Schizosaccharomyces pombe: one gene and its partners. Changing the gene in region 4 together with the main gene of any one other region gives a genetic interaction. Each region holds a gene or a part of one and is shown on either strand. Other genes may lie near its edges. The genes, in order: cut12, cdc24, rec11 and hhp1.

What was found.
Region 1: of hhp1 (region 4) and cut12, changing one suppresses a phenotype caused by changing the other (phenotypic suppression), as found in Schizosaccharomyces pombe (one study listed by BioGRID).
Region 2: of hhp1 (region 4) and cdc24, extra expression of one rescues a mutant of the other (dosage rescue), as found in Schizosaccharomyces pombe (one study listed by BioGRID).
Region 3: of hhp1 (region 4) and rec11, changing one suppresses a phenotype caused by changing the other (phenotypic suppression), as found in Schizosaccharomyces pombe (one study listed by BioGRID).

Annotation. Positions count from the first base shown.
Region 1 is NC_003423.3:539,533-543,706, reverse strand, and holds cut12 (protein Cut12), read right to left. Parts: upstream 2,552-4,174; 5' UTR 2,425-2,551; coding exon 2,418-2,424; exon of another isoform or gene 2,376-2,417; coding exon 736-2,375; 3' UTR 539-735; downstream 1-538. Other genes in the region: GTP-binding protein Gtp1, read right to left, coding at 1-39, 155-223, 269-286; tail anchored plasma membrane protein Uvi15, read right to left, coding at 3,747-3,792, 4,003-4,174. UniProt on the Schizosaccharomyces pombe protein: Required for bipolar spindle formation. May act as a regulator of the p34cdc2/cyclin B kinase. Required for full activation of the plo1 kinase.
Region 2 is NC_003424.3:2,863,187-2,867,693, forward strand, and holds cdc24 (DNA replication protein Cdc24), read right to left. Parts: upstream 2,641-4,507; 5' UTR 2,602-2,640; coding exon 2,510-2,601; exon of another isoform or gene 2,455-2,509; coding exon 2,370-2,454; exon of another isoform or gene 2,316-2,369; coding exon 2,288-2,315; exon of another isoform or gene 2,224-2,287; coding exon 2,024-2,223; intron 1,966-2,023; coding exon 1,302-1,965; intron 1,257-1,301; coding exon 1,122-1,256; intron 1,081-1,121; coding exon 779-1,080; 3' UTR 544-778; downstream 1-543. Other genes in the region: brr6 (nuclear envelope protein Brr6/Brl1), read left to right, coding at 1-381; SPOM_SPAC8F11.08C (esterase/lipase), read right to left, coding at 2,993-3,049, 3,103-4,176. UniProt on the Schizosaccharomyces pombe protein: Has a role in the progression of DNA replication and in the maintenance of genomic integrity. Acts during S phase, after initiation, where it is essential for completion.
Region 3 is NC_003421.2:1,222,783-1,228,686, reverse strand, and holds rec11 (meiotic cohesin complex STAG protein Rec11), read left to right. Parts: upstream 1-1,718; 5' UTR 1,719-1,761; coding exon 1,762-2,026; exon of another isoform or gene 2,027-2,092; coding exon 2,093-2,205; intron 2,206-2,220; exon of another isoform or gene 2,221-2,290; coding exon 2,291-2,389; exon of another isoform or gene 2,390-2,438; coding exon 2,439-2,788; intron 2,789-2,832; coding exon 2,833-2,977; exon of another isoform or gene 2,978-3,034; coding exon 3,035-3,817; exon of another isoform or gene 3,818-3,854; coding exon 3,855-4,270; intron 4,271-4,313; coding exon 4,314-4,599; intron 4,600-4,686; coding exon 4,687-5,001; 3' UTR 5,002-5,379; downstream 5,380-5,904. Other genes in the region: G1/S-specific B-type cyclin Cig1, read right to left, coding at 1-1,142; rei1 (ribosome biogenesis protein), read left to right, coding at 5,680-5,904.
Region 4 is NC_003423.3:1,854,118-1,858,535, forward strand, and holds hhp1 (serine/threonine protein kinase (CK1 family) Hhp1), read right to left. Parts: upstream 2,794-4,418; 5' UTR 2,692-2,793; coding exon 1,801-2,691; intron 1,679-1,800; coding exon 1,472-1,678; 3' UTR 556-1,471; downstream 1-555. Other genes in the region: lvs1 (beige protein 1), read right to left, coding at 1-146; mug176 (BRCT domain protein), read right to left, coding at 3,646-4,418. UniProt on the Schizosaccharomyces pombe protein: Involved in DNA repair. Has a probable role in repairing alkylated DNA and may regulate the activity of protein(s) involved in double strand break repair caused by gamma rays.

The DNA of each region.
Region 1 (4,174 bases), 1.3 Mb from region 4:
AAGTAATTGAGCCCTCAGCTTGGCGAGTTTTCCTTTCAACTAAAGGACTAGGTTAGTTTAATTTAGAGTTGATTCTTTATAAGTTGGAACAACATTGTAATATTTGCTATAAAATAAAAGGCATTCCAGTTAGAAATGAATTAAAAAAACTTACCAAACCAAGATGGTACTCCGTCGCCTTATTTTTTTGCGTCCGGCGCATTTCAGCTTCAATCTCTTGAATCTAGCCAATTTAGATTAGTATATAACGGCAGATATTTTTATTTACTTTTTCTAAGACACCCATTTTCCCATTTAATAACCTATCGTAGTGTGGTAATATGAAATTGTTGCTACTTTCAAGTTTTTACTGCGTATGGCCTAAGACAAGATTCAAATGGAGGTTGAGGAGATGGAATTCTTCCAGTCAGCTTACGATCTAAATGTACAGCTGAATGTTTTTCTAGTAAAATACTGCATGAAAAGATGAAATTAAATTACAATATCCACGACTAATACGGCCTTTTACAAGCCTCTTATAATGAATCCATCATTTATACTAAAAATTAGTAATTTGAGTTAATATTAATAATGGACTTATATTTTATTTAATTCTCGAAAGGAATATAGTTAATTTTCAATACTTGATGCACACACCTTTCCTCAACAAAAATAAATGAAACTAAGGCTCCAGTCCTTTACTTAAAAAGGATATGCATTCTAATTATACAATATCGATCTAGTAAAATTATACCTTCAGGAATTCAACTGAAGTTCTTGAAGTTTCAACTTCCTTCGTCTTCTCCTTTCCTCTAATCTTTTCTTTGCATTCGCAGTACGTTGATTTGGACTCTTCAAATCATAATCCACGCGAGAACTAGTTGCAACTTTAACTTGTGGTTTTTCAACATCAGCACTTGTAGTTACGTTCGCTTTTGATTGGTATACTGACGTTGGATTTGTTTTTCCAAGGTTTGAGCTTAAAGAAGATAACACGTTTGGCGTCACTCTTGCTTTTGGCAATTGCTGCAAGGTAGTAGCAGAAGATAAGCTACCACCATCTTGTGGGAAACTAAGTTTCGACGGTAAGTGGGACTTCTTTGCTGCTATTGAAAATGGAGCAGGTGTAGGAGTTTGATTAGACTGCATTAAATTCATACGTACTTTGGAAGCTGCGGAAATAGGAGTTGATGAAATTATTCCTTCAGAAGGTATTAGGTTTGTCGTATGGGACTTTTTTGATGAATGAGTCAGCATTTGAGCTGCCAAATGCGACATATCTGCTCCCCGATGTAAATTCTTGGAAGGAACCTGTTCTTGAGGCTCACGCACATCAGATTGGGATGGCCTAGAAACAACTTTAGTAGTAATCGGACTTGGCTTAGCAGTATAAAGCTCCCTCATTTGGCTAAATCTATTTCCAACGAATTCCTTGCCTTTGTATTTTGACTGTTGTCCTTGATGATTATGGATTTTCTCCGTTTCTAAAGCTCGACAACGTTGTTTCCAAAAATTGATTTCCTCTTGTTTCTCTAAAATTAAGGATTCCAAACGCTCACGGATAGAGGTTAATTCTAACTCAAGATCCGAATGAGCAGAATCTAGCATACTAAACTTTTGCTTCCAGTATTTTCCTGAAGAGGAACGAGGCGCATCAAGGTTTATCGTATAGTCAGGTTCATCCAAGCTCTCAGAGGGAAAAGCTTGGGATGTGTCAATCATAACGTCTTTAATAATTTCCTTCATTTTTCGATTATTGTTCACAACATCTCGAAAGCAATCCTTCATTAAACTTGACCAGTCATTATTATTGTTACTATCCCATTTGAATTTAGAGATCTCGGCATCCATCGAGTGAGGATATTTTTTCTTTGAAGGGACATCTTCGCCTAATCTCTGATTGCTTTTTGTCTCATTTTTATAGGATTCATTGATATTAATATTATAGCGATTATCAAACTCGTCATGCTTACTTTTGTTTTCATTATCCGGATTATTAATATTCGGTTTTGGAGTACTCTGTAACAAAGGGGATTTGAATTCTTCATGACCCATTAAAGGATTCTCATCATCTAATCTCGTAAATAAGAAATTATTTTTCGTTGGACGATTCCACGTCGCAGCATCTTTTGAAATATCTTTGAAATTGACGGTCTTCTTTATTTGTAAAGTACCTGGAGTTTTCAAAATCCCATTTTGTGCTGCTTTACTTTTTAACGGAGTTAATGTCTCAGTTGGGCGCAGGTCTTCTTTTGCGTCTTGCGGAAGTTCTGCATCAGATTCTGCATCCTCAATGTAAGAGGACATTTTTGTAACAGGCTTCGTCACAGTTCCTGCTAATTTACTAGAAAATGCTTTCAAAACCCATGCATATGTTGGCGGAGTGTTCAAAGTTTCTAAATTTTGAGATTAGCTTTGTTTACATAGGAATTCCTTACCTGACATTCTATCGGATCTCTGAATTGTTCTGCATGTAAAAATATAATTAAAAATATAAATAATTTAAACGAATTTAACAAAATTATGTCCAAACAACCCAACTTTAACAATATTTCCCAATTCGGTGGTTTTCAACGTATGGCACAAACACAACAAACTAATAAAGAACCCGATCGCATGTTACATTGGACGTCCTCTCAGTACACTATTTTACACACTGCGTATCGTCATATTTCTTTTAATATGTGAACTCGTTATTGTATGTTAATAAACTTTGTGATATCGTGAACGGTCTTTTCGCTATATGGAGGAGGTAATTGAATAGGAAGTAGAGTATAGCTGCAATGAAATACATTTACTACTACGATTATAAATAATACTTATAGATGGGTAATTGATAAAGGATATTGAGTATTTGTAGATATAGCGCTCATTGCAATAAAAGTCATATGGCAATTTTTGTCTTAACGAGCTTGCGCATCCAAATTCATAGCATTTGAATCAAGGGGGGTCGCAATGGTTGAGCTTCATTTTCGTGAACAAGTTTGTCGTATTTCCACCATAGAAAAAGCACGCATCTATCTACCTGTTTGAAATAGTCAAAGCAAATCTTAGAAACTTTAAACTTTTTACGTAAGATATATGCCTCAATTTACTTTTAAAATCTTTTTAAAAAACAAATAAGGAATTCTTATACGTATCGATCAAAAACCGACTCTATCAAACTTAAACATATTGGGAAATCTAAAGAGTTCATCTACACTAAAAGAAAACAACAGCATACTAAACAGAATACACAACATATAACGAGCAGCAAAAAAGTAGACAAACCATAGAAAGGTTAGCTAAAAACGAAACACACATATTGCCCCTTCAGGGTAAGCAAGATAAATAAACATGCGAATTTTTTCAGGACGAGTCATTTCAACTAATCCAAACTAAAAATTATTCATAAAGAACGATTTAGACCAATGGATGCTGTAAAAGATTTTGCGCTTAAAAAATAGAAAAGACAGTCCATCATAAAACTAAAGGTTTTAATTTCGAAGAAAAGAAGCTGAAATTAAACGGTTGGGTAATAGCAATTTTCAAAAAGTGAGACGACACTCTGTACAGAAAAATCAAGATCTATAATTATTCGACCAACGCTTTACCAATGTAAATAAATAAATCCTCGCCATAAAGTTGTTTGCTGGCGAGGGAATTAATGAAAAAATAACCAACAATCATTAATTGCACTCAAGTCAGAAAATAAACACGGCTTTTAGTTTAATCAGTGGTGCATGCTCTCTTTCGAGAAAAGTAGAAAGAACAAGCCAAATAGTTTTTTAAAACATTGCATCCAAACAGCAACAGCAAGCAAGACCGGTCAATCTAAAAACAGTCGTTAGTAAAGAGAAAAAGGTAAAGCAAAACACAGTTCAACAGGGAACTATTCGAAAGGAACGCCAAAGCAACTTTAATCGACTGACGTAATGACCTAATTCAATAAAGAATACCCCATTCACCTTTCAAAATTAAGAGTGTGCTTCACCGTTCCAATGCAATTTCGACGTCTTCTACGCGCCCATTCTTTATACTTACAGACCACAGCAAAGATCGCCACCAGGATCACTGGCCTGAGGTTGCTGAACATACATAGGTTGCTGAGCAGGATATCCACCTTGAGGATAGCCTTGTGGAGGAGCATAACCTTGTTGAGGATAATTTTGTTGAGGAGGATAATAGTTTGGGCCTCCATAAGCTTGTTGAGGAG
Region 2 (4,507 bases), on a different chromosome or scaffold from region 4:
TATCTTTCTATTAACTGTGACTCTCCAGGACCTGCTATTTTTGAAGTTTGTCAAAAACTGAAACAATGTAAAATGGAAAGTTCTAATAATGTCGGTTCTACAAAGTTGGCAGCGTTAGTTTTTGCTGAGATTATAGACGCTTTTATAAGTCATATTTCTTATAAAACTATGGTTTTTTCCCTCATTCTTGTATTTGGAAGTCTACTAACATCCAATTACGCCTTTGGTCTTTATAGAGCTAGACATTCTCAAAATATCCACGATTATGCTGCCAACGCTATCCCGGCGATGATACCGTCCAGTAGATTCCTTCCTTCCAATCTTTCTGATATTTCCAATAGAAACCTTATCGAAGCTGCCTCTCAGGAGGAAGAAATTTGAACGTCTTCATTTTTCTACTAACCTCATTTTTCTTAAAATCATTTTTCATCACTTTCATTTATATCATTACTTTGAACGTTATTGGTATGCTTTCTAATTTGGCATACAAATTTCGTTATTCGGATTCATTTTCTTTTATAATTTTGTTAATTTAGCTGTTCATTGTATCGTATTGCTTTGTTTCTCACAAGGGTGAGCCAATTAATATTCTAACTTTGAATTTCTTTTTTGGAAAAATGCATTATTTATAAGCCTTTTAAACTGTAGTATATTAGTAAATTAAGCAAACTAAGCTTTTAAAACGGAGAATGATTGAATGAACTGTACATCTTTTCATTCAAACATTCAATGTTTGATTTTTATTTGTTAGACATAATTATTCAGATAATGGCGATGGCTATTCACACGGCAGAGAGTTTATTTTTTGTATATGGCAGTTGTGTTCTGAGTCCACATAAATATCACACCAATGGAATCCGAGCTTGTACGACTTCAAATCCAGGTATATTGGAAATTCCATTTCTTTTTGGAATAATTCTTTAAAGCCGGAAATCATAGACGCAAAATATGAAACACAATTCGGTCGTAAAGCTGCCCAAAAACTATTCCTTAAACAGTCAATTACCTCCATTTTTGCTGTTAATGGATTTACTTCCGGCAAGACCAAACTGGTATTTAAATCAGATTGGCGGGTTAAATCTATCATTCAATTAGTATTTCGTAAAACAAGCAACCCTTACTCGCTACAAATCCGGTGATCACCAAAGTTAACGGTTGAATTTTTAAATGCCCAGAAACACCTGAAAAAAGGTTGGAGAACTTGCATAAATCATTTCTCAAAAAGTTTGAGGATAACGGGTTCTCCAAGTTTGACACTAAAATAAATCAATATTCAATCCCATAAATTTACCATTTCTTACGAATTTCAGTCGTTGTGTCACTAACGCATGAATAATCACTTAGATTGTCAGAAGAATGATTGATTGGGCTAATGCATAGCAAATCTCCAATATAGGTATCCTTGAAATAATGCTTTTGAGAATTGGAATACAATATCTTCACTCGCTGACCATTGTTATCCAGTACAAGAAAATTTGAATTAACGGCAGCTAAGCGTCCCACTTGCCAGGAGTCGCATTTTTTTTCTTCAAAGTCATTCTCACTTAAAATTACCAAAATACCGATCATTCCATCCTGCCAGTTGGTACTGCCTTCCCAAACGGTACTCCAAAATGGAATAAGTAGGTATTGTTGCTTGTCTAGCAGCTTAGGGAAATCATGGTAAGTCCCTGAGAAATGTATAAAATTGGTATTGTTGTCTATAAGAAAAGCACCTTTTTTGTCTAAAGAAATGATGCGACCCAATTCCACAGTAATTCGTTTCACACCTTGATCACTTTTGCTTATAGTAATATCACGTATTTGAAAGAATTCATGTTCAGTTGATTCAACCATTGATTTCACAAAACTTTTTGATGCAGCATATTGCAATACTGGAACAAAGCTAGTTGTAGGAAGGAAACGTATTTGCTTTCGTAAATACCATTTTTGATGGATGCGTGACTGAGAAAAGCGTAAAGTTGACTAAATAAAGGTCTTAGATAATCACTGTTATAAAGGAGATGATATTCAAAAACCTTACACCTTTCAAAATGTTAAATGGTTCATGGAAGAGTAAATAAAAACTGGAATGCAAAATCATTTCGCACGTATTCTCCTCACTATCTTTCAGCTTCAAAGACGGTATTGGGGTATAATAATAATCATAGCAATGAAAATGAAACTGGTCTTCCAAATAAATAACTGCATCTGATTTCGTTAACCATTCCAAAGAAGAAAAAACTGTTTACAAAAAAGGAGGTCAATATCTCTTTATACCAAAAAAAAAAGTAAACTTTCTCGTTACCATTGTCCAATTTATTTCTCTCCGAGCACTACGTTCATGCATGTCAGATTTTATCGACTTGTAGAGTAAGTAGATTCCTTACCGCTAATTCAATCTCGTTAATTAAAATGGGATAGCTAAACCCTGAGGGATACTCCTTTAACAAGCTGATAGTTTTGTTTATTAACCTAAATTGTCAGTAGCCACTCTTTACATATGCGTTAACTTTTAGCATCTACTCACCAGTAATCAGTGAATGCTGGTTGTTTAGATTTCTCAACTAAGCGGTTTTCTAGATCTTCTTTTATTTTTTTAATCAGACCTGGAAAATCCATATAATCATTAAATTTACTACTGCTCTAAGATTAGTAGTTGATAGAATATAGATAATTGACAGCTGCCTAAATACTCCATTTAGTATCATCTGTTTTTATACTGTTACGCCTAATGATATTGAACAATACTTATAAAATTTTTACAATTTAAAAACTTGTTTGCTGTCATTATTTTTGTTATTTCATATCACAATCGAAATTTTAAGTAAGAAGACACAATAAACAGCATATAACCAAATATAATATTTAATTCATTTAAAACAGATATCTATCCGGTTTTGGGATGCTTGTCAAAAAAGATGAAACATCTAGCAAACAAAAAAGCATATGCTTGTAAAATATTAAAACAAACTTAAAACTACCCATCTAGAGAAGGAATGCACTCGTAAAATTAAATTGTTTTCTTATTATCTTCTACTAAGAAGAACCAACGTGCGATGAACGTAGCCTGGCGGGTTAGTAAACGATTAACGAAATAAGGAATTTACTATATTGACATACCGTTGAGATTGTTCTTGGAGAAGTAAATTCATAATAATAAGGGACAGCACCAGGTACAACAAAATTTTTAATCAATGATGCCTTTTCGGATGATTCTCTATCATTACTGTCGCTAACCGGATTGACATCTCCAGCATGTAATGTCATCATAGGAATAGTGGATTGATTTGTCCACACTAAATTTTGAATAGAACGGGGACACAGAGCAAAAATGCCTTTTACAGAGTTTGGTCGAATGTGTTTTAGACTCTCAAGAGCGACAGACGCACCAGTATCTTCACCTAGGAAAAAAATACGTTCTGGATCTGCATCATAATAGATGGCATTCTCTACTATCCAATCTACACACAAAGATACAAATTCGACGGCATCGGAAAGGGGAAATTTTGGAGGCTGGGCGTAATTGGGAACCACTACGAAGAAGCCTAAAGATGAAAGGTAGGGAATGATAATGCTTTCGGATTTCTTAGCACCACAAACCCAAACAATAACAGAAGATGCGGATGCAGATTTTGGAGGTGAATAAGCGTTTAATAAAAGGTGACTTTTGTAAACGAGACGCTCAGCATTATTTTTGGCTAAAAGCCAGTTAGGAAGATAAGAGATGTATGGGTAGCGTTTGACGGTTGTCCCATGTAAATCATTGATAAATAACCTACTGAAGCATTTTGCAAGTGAGCTATTTTTTTGCTGATCGCGGTTACCGATGCTTGGTTCAAGAGATGCGGGTAATTCAGACTCGAGTTTTCGGGCGGCAAGTACATTAACAGCGGCCAAAGCAAACAAGGATCCAAGGCCAAGCATATCAACAAAAAATATTTTGTCGTAGAAAGAAGAAAATTGGGCACCCATACGCTCAGCAATTATAGTAGCAACGAACTTAACGCTTGCCGCTTCTAAGCTTTTCTCTGAAACAAAAGCAAAAAAAGAAGCAACATTTGATTCAGATGCACCGATGACTATCTTGGACAACAACTTAACCAAAAATTTGCGAACTTCCAGCTGGTATGCTGAAAGAATCACAAAAGATGAAAGTACTACCCAAATAGAATAAAGAATCGTCGCAAACCCCATTACTACATGGAATGATTTTTGTCTCAATACTAAATTGGTTAATATAATGTGTGAAAAATAAAATAATTTCAGTAAATAATCATGTCTGTTTTCGTTCTGATGACTTTCAATTGAAGAAATTACGAAGTCCACATTGGGAGAAAAAGCATAAATACGAACCAACCCTCAAGACCCCTGCACGGTAATCATCGTGTCACTCAGATATCCATTTCTATTTAATTTAGAGATTCATCAAACCAAAAATGATCTGGTACACTATTTTTGAAACATTATGCGCATTTGGTATCATCATCGAGTTGGGCATTAACTCAATAGCACAGCCAAACATAGA
Region 3 (5,904 bases), on a different chromosome or scaffold from region 4:
AAACATTCCATAATGATTATGGCACACGGTTTCAATTGACGAGCCGTGTACCCACTATAATATACATGGCAAGGAGTCCAATCCAAATGACCCAACATCTGCATAGACAAGTAGTAGGCAGTAGCAGCAATGAAGCTAATATGGGCACCTATAAAAATTTCATCCATCAAGGTTACTTCTTGAAGATATTTGGCGAGCATGCGAATGTCGTGATCGTAAGAATCAGCTCGACTTATACGACGCAAAAACGACATGGGCCCTGGCCAACTAATGTCAAAATCCAAAAGCATCAGCATATAGCGCTCGGCTCTAATGATTTCGTCAACGGTGAAGATCCCTTGGACAACATGCGCAAAGTTGTAGATGCTTGGAGGGTGTATCTCTTCATACTTACAGGCAATCAGCAAAGCTGATAAACCTACCAACTGGACTTTTTGCAAAGATACGACTTTTATGGAAAGAAACCGGTCGATAAGGTTTACCGCCAAAAATAATGTCTCAGGAAGTAAACGAAAATGTATTTGAACTTGCACAATCCAATCAACAAGCATATGTCTTGTAACCCAGTCAATCTCTTGCTGAACTGACATGTAATTAGGAGGTGGAGCCAGCTTCCTTTCCAAAGATTGCATGTAGTGAAATATCTCAGGATCATAGTCTGGTACCATGGATGGATCAGTTTCTATATCCTCAGGCGATGGGTTAGCTTGTAATCGAGCAGCAGCTTCAGACAGGGCGGCTAAATCTTCCTTGGTCCACTCGGGAATTGTTGGTAGTCTATGCTTCCCGTGTGTAAGAATTCCTTCAGGTGCGTCAAAGCTGCCCTCACGGTTTTCCAAATCATCATCTCCAATAGACTTAGGAGTGGAGCGAATTGACCGTTCCTCTATCTCGACTTTGTCCTGGTATGCAAAATCCTCTTCAAAAGTGTCGCCAGTGGACGAAGAGATGGAGGATTCATTATTCCCTTCAATCAATGTTGGTTCATCTTGTTGATTGATGTTATCTACTGCCTTGAAAGGTGCACGAACACCCGTATTTAACTTGATGTGACTTTTCTTCTTCACATAAATGTGATCCTTTTGTAGCTGATTCTCATCTTGAAAATATGTTGCGTGTCTTGTTTGAGTCGAAACGTCCATTAGTAAACCAGCACACACTTGTTTAGAAAGTTTTGGACATGCGATGAAAGTCGGTTTTCAAACTGCCTTTTACTCAGGTAGGAACCCTAGTCTTCTCTTTGGAAAAGATCCTTAAAAATTTAGATGCTTTTCGACTTCTAAAAATTCGAAAAAATGACTCTACACCCAAATATATGAAGATACTATTGAACGAAGGATTCGAGGAAAGTAATCTTTTGGATTGACCAGAAAGATTAGTACTACAACAGTACAAGAACTAAAAATCTCAAATGAAACCAACGAACAAGAGTATTAACCAAAAGTTGGAGTAGGACTTTGCAAAGGAATACCGAGCTACTACTAATGAGAAAAAGGAGTTGGTGGGTTCTCAAAAGGGGTCAGGGAAAAGCCCGAAATTCCGAGTAAAAACGCGTTCTTATTCATAAATTAGTTACTTTATGTTTCAAAAGTAAAACTTTAATAAATTATTATATACTTGATTGCAATGGTTGTATGTGAACTGCAAAATAATTAATGACTGACTGACGCGACTCGTGTCACGTAAACAAACCCATCGTTTCTGTTAGATTAATCTTTGCCATAACCAACCACCATCGTACCAATTAATTGAGTGATTTCAATGAGATTCGAATTTGAATCAGATGCAAGCAGTCATCTCAATGAAGTCCTTACTGAATTAGAAAGCGTGGAGCTTGAAAATGTTGAATATGAAGGTCCAAGTTTACAGAATGTCAGCATTTGTGCCTCGCCCTCAGAAAAAAAGCGGAAATGGGGAACACAAGATGAATTTTCTTTGACGGAGAATGAAGAAAATAATGAAATAGAGACGAATGAAGAGATGCACGTAAATTCTCATGATTATGCCTTTCCACAAGAATTTTTTCGTAAGTTTGCTTGCTTATAAGAGAAAAAAAGTCTTCGATAATATATTCTAACAAGCATACGAAAAGTCAAACTGTTGGATATAGATATGCCGCTCGAGCAACTTTCTCAACATTATTTTGAAGACTATAAAAGTAATAGCGCTGACTTCATGCTGACCTTTATAAATTTCGCATTAGTTGTAAGTTTAGCAGGAATGATCCGCGACGTTTTCTAGCTTTTGCTGTTTTGTTTACTCTTCCTTTGAAACGTAAACTAATTCATAGGCCTCTGGTTGTCAACCCTTCGTTACGAACTTTGATGTACAGGACGTAGATTCAATTCCTGAAACATTGTCTCAGGTCAATCGTTCAAGTTTTCAAAAGGTGTGTGCATCATCTTTTTGTAATATTTACTTACCATACATATCGCTAGTCTTCTTGCGCTTATACTGATTATCTTTATACTTCTAACTCTAAAGAAGCTAAAACGGTGCGTATTCGTTTTCAGCTTTTTTTGGTCGAATTCATCAGTAAAGTTTACGTGGAAGACGCATTCCTCGGAGACTCATTCATGGAAACTACAAAAGCTTGGATTTTTACCATGACGACAAGTCCTTGGATGCTTGTTAGACATACTGCAACAACTATTTGCTGTGATATCATGCGATGCTTATGCCTTATAGTAAACAAACTTTCCGAAAAATCAAATCAAACTGCGGAAATTCTGGTACTGAGAGACTTAACATCTAGGTTCATTGACATGATTCACGACATTTGTGATAGGTTGGCAATACTACTTTTCTTAACGACTCTAACCTTTTTACTAGTGTACTATTCTCAAGGATTCATGATATACGTGCAAGCATTCGTATAGTGTGTGTTACTGCTCTATATGATTGTTGCCAATTGCTTCCCACCTATCTTATAAACAGAAATTTGATTAGACATTCTGGCTGGGGGTTATCTGATGCAGTAAGTGTATAAACAATCGCTACTGCTGTATCATTTAAATACTAACTGAACGTATAGGAATCACAAATCCGAAAAATCTCCTTAAAAATAATAGATTATCTTTCTTCTCATGAACCTGAAAAAGATCAAGATTTTGTGGTTGATTTTCTTGACAGATTCTCGTTAAGAATTGTGGAGATATGTCGGTACGATATTGATTCTGTTCGATCTGTTGCCCTCAAGACATGCGAGAAACTGATGGAGAAAATATCGTTGAATGGAAAATGTATCAATATTGTTTCTAGCTGCATATTTGACGGGAAGCCCCAGAATCGAATCTCGACAATGCGAATCCTCGTTGCCCATACTAATGAACGCTACGCAAATTATTGTGAAGCAAAGACTGCAACAATCAGCTTATCAAAGCTCTTAAGGCGTGAAAAAATCCCATTGTTAGTTTCCAGCTTTGAAAGCCTATTCAAAATGAATGCGTTATTATTCATACTTGAGCAAGGATTTGAATCTTGGTTCCGTGATAGCAGCGATCACATCTTTTCGCGTGTGAAAGACGATGACAAATTTGTATATCAGTCGCAGGAGAATAACTTTTATGATGCGGATTTCATACGAGAATATGATATGAATAATCATAGGCAGCAATTAATTGAGGAAAGCATGCATTCCATTCATACAAACTCACAATTACTTGCCAGTTGGGAGGATGTTGCAAAGCTCTTGCTTTATGATCGCTTTGATGCAAAAGATACTAACAGTGTCTTAAACCCCTGTATACCGAGCAACGCAGTGATAGAATTTTCTTCTATCTATCTCCATTATTTTGCAACACATATTAGCAAAAGAGTAAGTTATTTAAAGCTTCATATTACTAAACCTCTAGTCGAAGAAGCCAGGTAAAAGACTTGAAGATGAGGTCGTAAACCAACAGCAAGCAATGTTACGAAACCTTCCATTACTATTACAGAAATACAGAGAATCTTGTGTTTCATCATACTTTTTTATAAAATGCGTAGAGCAAATTCCTGACGAGCTTCTTTATAAGAGAGAATTTCATAAGGACTTTTCAAAGTTGTATAAAGAAATACTGGATATATTTAATTCAACTACCGTTAACTTCCTGATGATTTTGTGCAGCAGATTCTTCCACCGATTGGCGGTCAACAAAGTTGTACAGGAAGATATATTATTTGCCATTGACAATGTATATAATGATTTAGCAGAAAGTTTACACGAGCAACTCAATGCATACATTCAAAGAAAAAAAATAAACAAAAAAAATCAGTTGAATGGCAATGAGTAAGGATTTTTCTTTTTGTTATTAGATTGCTAACTTTACAAGTGAAACGCAAAACTTGGTTTTAGCTTTAAATAAGTTTGGATGCTTTGCAAAGGAAATGGTCTGTCTGCGAGACGTCAATGATTGGAACATTAAACTGTCAGAAAAATTATGCGAAATTTGTAGTCTTGAAGTCGGTCCTATCGTCTGTTATTCTTCTTTGAAAGTTTTATTTCTTCTTCTGCTTTCTGATATGAGAGATAGAAACTGTATTTTTACAAATATATTTTTAAAAGCAGCTAAGGTTGCGAAGCAAAAAAATGGAAACTCCTTTTTAAGCAAAGTTTTCGTAAGTCTCTAATGTTGCTGTCTATCTATCTTTTATGACTGTTGATTTCAATCACATTTAGTGGAGTAAAATGCTAACTATAAGCAGATTACAATTACGATGCTTACATTGTTTCTTGGATCAAAGGCAAATAATTGGGATATAAATTTTAGTGACGATGACTTGAAATTGATGAATGAAGAAGAAATCATGGAACAAATTGAAACTTTTAAAGCATGGTCAATGAAATTTAAAGAGAAATCATCTGGAAACCCTTCTTACTTTTTTTCACCCGAAGATACTGAGGAGAAGGAATTATGGAATAATCTGTTTGAGGATTGGTATCCCAATCGTGCTAGAGATCCTGGAACACTGAGTCATTTAGTGAAAGGTTTAAAAGAAACAGCTGACCATTTATCATAAAACGAAATTTTAACACTAATTAAACCCCGAGGGAAAAGAGATAAGAAAGCACATGTGCTAACTTTCTTATTGAGGCAAGGAAACTTATTAAACAAAAGGAAAAGACATTAAACTCTATTATGTATTTCCTATATGATTATTCCAACGAAACTAACTCAAAAATACCTCAATTTCAAATACTCAATTTTAATTAAACCCTGAAGAGTGGGAGCTCGTGTGCTCGCTAAAACTACAATGCATGCCATTTCTTTCTTTCCAGCCCTTTGTCTATATATGAGTTTTCTTAGGACTTACTGGTTAATCAAAAGGTACGCCTTATGTTACTAAGCAATAGAAAATGTTTTTGAGGGATGCATAAATTAAGTTTAAAAAAACAAGACATTAAGATGTTTAACATATCAATTAATTTTATTTGATTTCAATAAAATTGATAATTATTTGACACTTTAAAATAATTTGGTGGTGCTACAAGTTATGTAGGCAATAGTTGATCGTAGGCAAGTTGGATTCAACCAACACCTTTTTGTGCAAGGTATTGTAAAAAAGGGTTGACTTCATCTCATTAAGTTAGTTTGAGTCAAAGAATATATTTGAGGAAAGACTCGGCTTCAATATCAATTTTTTTTTCGATAAAAAAGTGTACTGGCTAAGAATTGAATTACTTGACAGAATACCGAAATGTCGACTTCTTTTGCTTGCACGACTTGTACTGTGGCTTTCAATAATGCAGAATCACAGAAAATACATTGGAAGTCTGACTGGCATCATTATAATCTGAAGAGAAAGGTTGCTAGCTTGCCGCCGTTGAGTGCTGAGGTGTTTGCTGGAAAGATTTTGTCCATTCAAAAGCAGAACGAGGAAGTCCAGAAAAAAGCAGAATTTTATCAAAACTGTGAAGTATGT
Region 4 (4,418 bases):
TGTGGAAAAAAATTACTGGGAATATCATTTCGAATGAACCCCCTCAATTTTCGTAACTCTTCTAACAGAACTTTTTCTGAGGGACAACCCTCAAGCCTCGATAACAACTCAACGCTTTTAGAATAGGCATTCGCCTTTCTGTCCATAGCAGCTTACTTGAATAAAAGATAGAAGAAAGAACCTAACAAAAATATTCGTTCCTAGCCCCTGGTGCACAAGTTTCGTATTTATTTCGATAAACTCTGGTCAAGTGAGTGTATATTATGAATAGGTCATGTGAGTTGAAGCAGAGAGAAATGGTTTTAAAAAAGAAAACGATTAATATATATAATCGATGAAATTAATGAAAATTGATGCTTGCTTAAATTTATCGTTATTGAAACTGGCAATAATAGTTCGTAGTGGTTGGCGGTGAAGTATAGCGGTGATAATGATTTCTTGCCAAACGAAGTGAACTATGAAAACTTGCTGTAGAAGAGAACTACACCAAATAGATAGTAAGTAAAGACAATTTATTTCTATTTCATTTATGCTTGTTGATTTTGAAGTAGGTGTCATCATTCTAAATTCATCTTATTGATAATTCAAAAACTTACAAACAACACCTTTCTAGTTTTTTCAAGTATGTTTACAAACTAAAATGAAAAGCAAAATATTTATTATATTTAGCAAACAGAAGTGTGAACAACATCGAAAGACACTTCATGAAATGAACGCTTCAATAAAACAGTCAAGCACGAGATCATGCACCCAGAACACGAACTAAAACAAACCATTCATCCCTCGAGCATTAAGTCATTGAATTTAAACGCATCTTAAGCATCCTAAGGTTAAACGACGCTGATTAAATGAGTTCAGCTTGGAAAAGACGGTATCTATAAAGAAAAGCAGCAAATAGCTGATAATATATTATTAAAAGTATATGAATGCAATGCCTTCTAATTAGATTAAACCCCAAGGCTCATCACACATAAAAAAGTAACCAATTTGCTTATGGCGTCGTAAAAAAAAGGCTTTAAACCACGCATAATCTGTCACCAGGATTCGTGTTAAGCGAAGATAAAATTATGATCATTTCTGCAGAAAATTCTCTCACTTTTTTCTGTTCCTGGCTCGAAACATATATGATAATGTATGAATAGATTCACAGGTAGTAAAAACAAATACCAAATGTATTATTAGCAAATGTACTAATATTAAAAAATTTTTCACCAAAACTTGCCATAATGAGGATATGATCATGAGGTTAGCATAGAATTTAAGTCAACACAAGATCTTCAGCCAAATAAGCTATGAACCCTCAATAAACTATAAGCAAAGTAACTTTCGCCATCCCAAGGAAAAAGCCCTGCGCTATCAACAAAATTAAAGGACGTCTGGAGGATAAAAGGCAAGTATTGGAAGACTCCAGATGAGAAGAAAATATAAAAATAATGTGCCCATGCTATATAATAATAATATGAAAGGCTAATCAATTAGGTCTGTTGATATATTGAGCTCCGGTTGCAGATGGATCATTTATAACAGGAACGGTTGTATTAATGTCTCCGCCTTTTTCATCAAAGTTTTGTTTTTGATAATTTCTAAATGAAGACCTCTCTGGCGGCGGATTAATAGCTTGAGGAGTTGCAGACAGTTGTTGCTGTAATTGCTGCTGATGTTGTTGGTCTTGTTGAGTCTACAATTTAAATGTTAGTAAATGTGACTATGTAAACTTCATAAAATATCATATTACATTGGTTTTCAATAACTCGGAAACCCAGAAAATAAAAAAAGCACTATTACCAAGATATCTCATACCTTTCTCTTCAAGGTCCAATCAAACATATAGTCAAACTCATAAGATTGCCGACAAAAAAGATCTCGGAAAAGCTTGCGAAGGTAGGCGTAATCAGGTTTGTCATCGAAACGTAAAGATCTCGTGTAATTGAGATAAATTGAGAACTCCTGAGGGAATCCCCGACATAAGACCTCTGTAGGCGTAGAGATCTTCTTCTCCATAATCTTTTCATACTTTTGCTTTTTCGTGGTAGCCTTCAATCCCTGCCAAGGCAGGCTACCACGACAAAAGTAGACGAGCACATAACCTAAAGATTCGAGGTCATCACGGCGGGATTGTTCAATACCTAAATGAGTATTGATGCTAGCATAGCGTGCAGTACCTGTAAGATTCTTGTTCTCGCGATAAGGAATGTGCAGGTGAGTTTTGTGATCACGATACTTCTTAGCCAATCCGAAATCAATTATGTTAACTTGATTTCCTCTTTTACCTATTCCCATTAAAAAGTTATCAGGCTTAATATCACGATGAAGAAAAGATTTTGAATGAATGAATTCAATTCGAGAAATGAGCTGGTCCGCAAGGAGAAGAACTGTTTTCAAAGAAAACTTTCGATTGCAAAAATTAAACAAGTCTTCCAACGAAGGACCCAATAAATCCATCACCATAGCGTTGTAATCACATTCTACACCGAACCAACGAACAAACGGGATTCCGACCCCTCCTGACAAAATGCGATAAACTCTGTATTCATACTCCAATTGAGGGTGTTTAGCACGAGTTGATTCTAGCTTGATAGCGACCTCTTCACCAGAAACGACATTAGTCCCAAGATAAATGTCTCCGAAAGATCCACTGCCAATTTTACGACCAATGCGATACTTGTTCCCAATCCGGAGGTCCAAAGCCATAATAATATTATAACGCTTTTAAGGCTAAAGGCACTCGCTTTTTCTCTCCAATATACTATAGATTGAAATTGAATGATGTGGTTGAGGTAAAAGTAGGGGTTCGAAAAAGTAGAGCAAGTTAGGTAACGTAGAAGTAAAGAACTTAAAGTAAACATAACGAGAGTTAGCATTGCTTTATCAAAATAACGATAATAAATTATAATACAAAAAAAATTCGCTATGCGATTAAATTATAATAGATAGTGAATTTGCGAATATTGATAGTTTACGATGAATGTAAATAAAACATACCTACATACATTCGTACATCCAATATCTATTTTTAGAATGGGAGCGTGATGCTTTTCTTGGTTTCTATTTTATCAATTACCATTTACTGAAAAATGTAAAATGTAAGGTATGGTTTATTAACACTAAGAATAAAAGGCTAATAAAATGTGTCCTTTATAACAGACTCTTCCTTGTAATCTATATACAAAATCTAATAATATTTGAGCCCCAGTAAACGAATGATCTAAAAAGATAGAGAAAATTCGGGTTCTCAGACGAAAATAAAAGCTGTAAGATACACTGTCTTTCCAGTTGAAGCGAAAAAGACCTCCAACCGAATATTGGAGTGCGAAAAAATAAAATGAAAGAACATTTTAAAACAATAAGAAAACCTTTTTCGGAAATTTAATATTGTAGTTCTTTACATAAGAAAAGCGAAAAATGCAAGGCATTTTTCTGTTCTAAATAAGAGTTGACTAATTCTCCATTGAGATTATAAATAATTTGGGTCAGGATTGTGACGACTGAGCGAATAGAATAAAATAAAATAAAATAAACTGACAATGGGCAGGATAAAAGAAAGGGGAAAAACACGCAAAACACTGATCTAACAATATGTACAATGAGCAGTGCGGAATTAAACTTGTAAATGAAAGAGAGTAATGAAATAGAAAGACAAGGCACTTAGAAATCTATAAGACTAACCTTCTTTTTTAGTGGAGAGCCAATTAACGGTTTGTAAGCTAGATACTTCTTTTTGGCAGACTCTAAATGAGTCATCTCTAAATCCGTCGTAATTTTGAAAGACGAAAATAGATCAGCCGTTGGAGATAGCGATATTTGAGAAATGGTTTCTGGATTATTTTCTCGTTGAGCGTCATTGGACATAGATGACTCATTAGAATCACTGCAAGTAATGAGACCAAACTCATAATCATCGGACAAAGTTTGATCCAAGAATGAGTCGGCATTAAAACAATGAGAATCAGGAGACCCATTAACGAATGGTTCTAAATTTTCTGCTTGAGTATCGAAAAAGAAGGCATCAGAAGGGTCCTGAATCATTTGCGTGTCAGTGAAAGGATCAAGAGGATTCAGCAACTCCGAGTCATCAGTCTGTAAACATTTAGTTTGCAGTATATCTTGAGGATCAACTAAGTACATTTCCTCGTCGACTAAATACTTAGATGAGTAACAAGCCAAAACCCATTTAGGAGATACACAAACGATTGGGACTTGAGCAGAACTAATTTTCTTGAGAGTTTCTTGTGAGCAGTCGTAGAGTACTGCGTGAGAAACGGGATTTTCCTCGGTCATTTGTAAAGACGCATGAACAGTTGCGCCCAATAGACGCAATTGTTCAGTAACGATTTCCATTGAAAACATACCTTCTCCGATTTCAACGTAAGCATGGACAGAGCTCAAAGGGAATTTTTGTTCTGTTTCATTAATTTTTG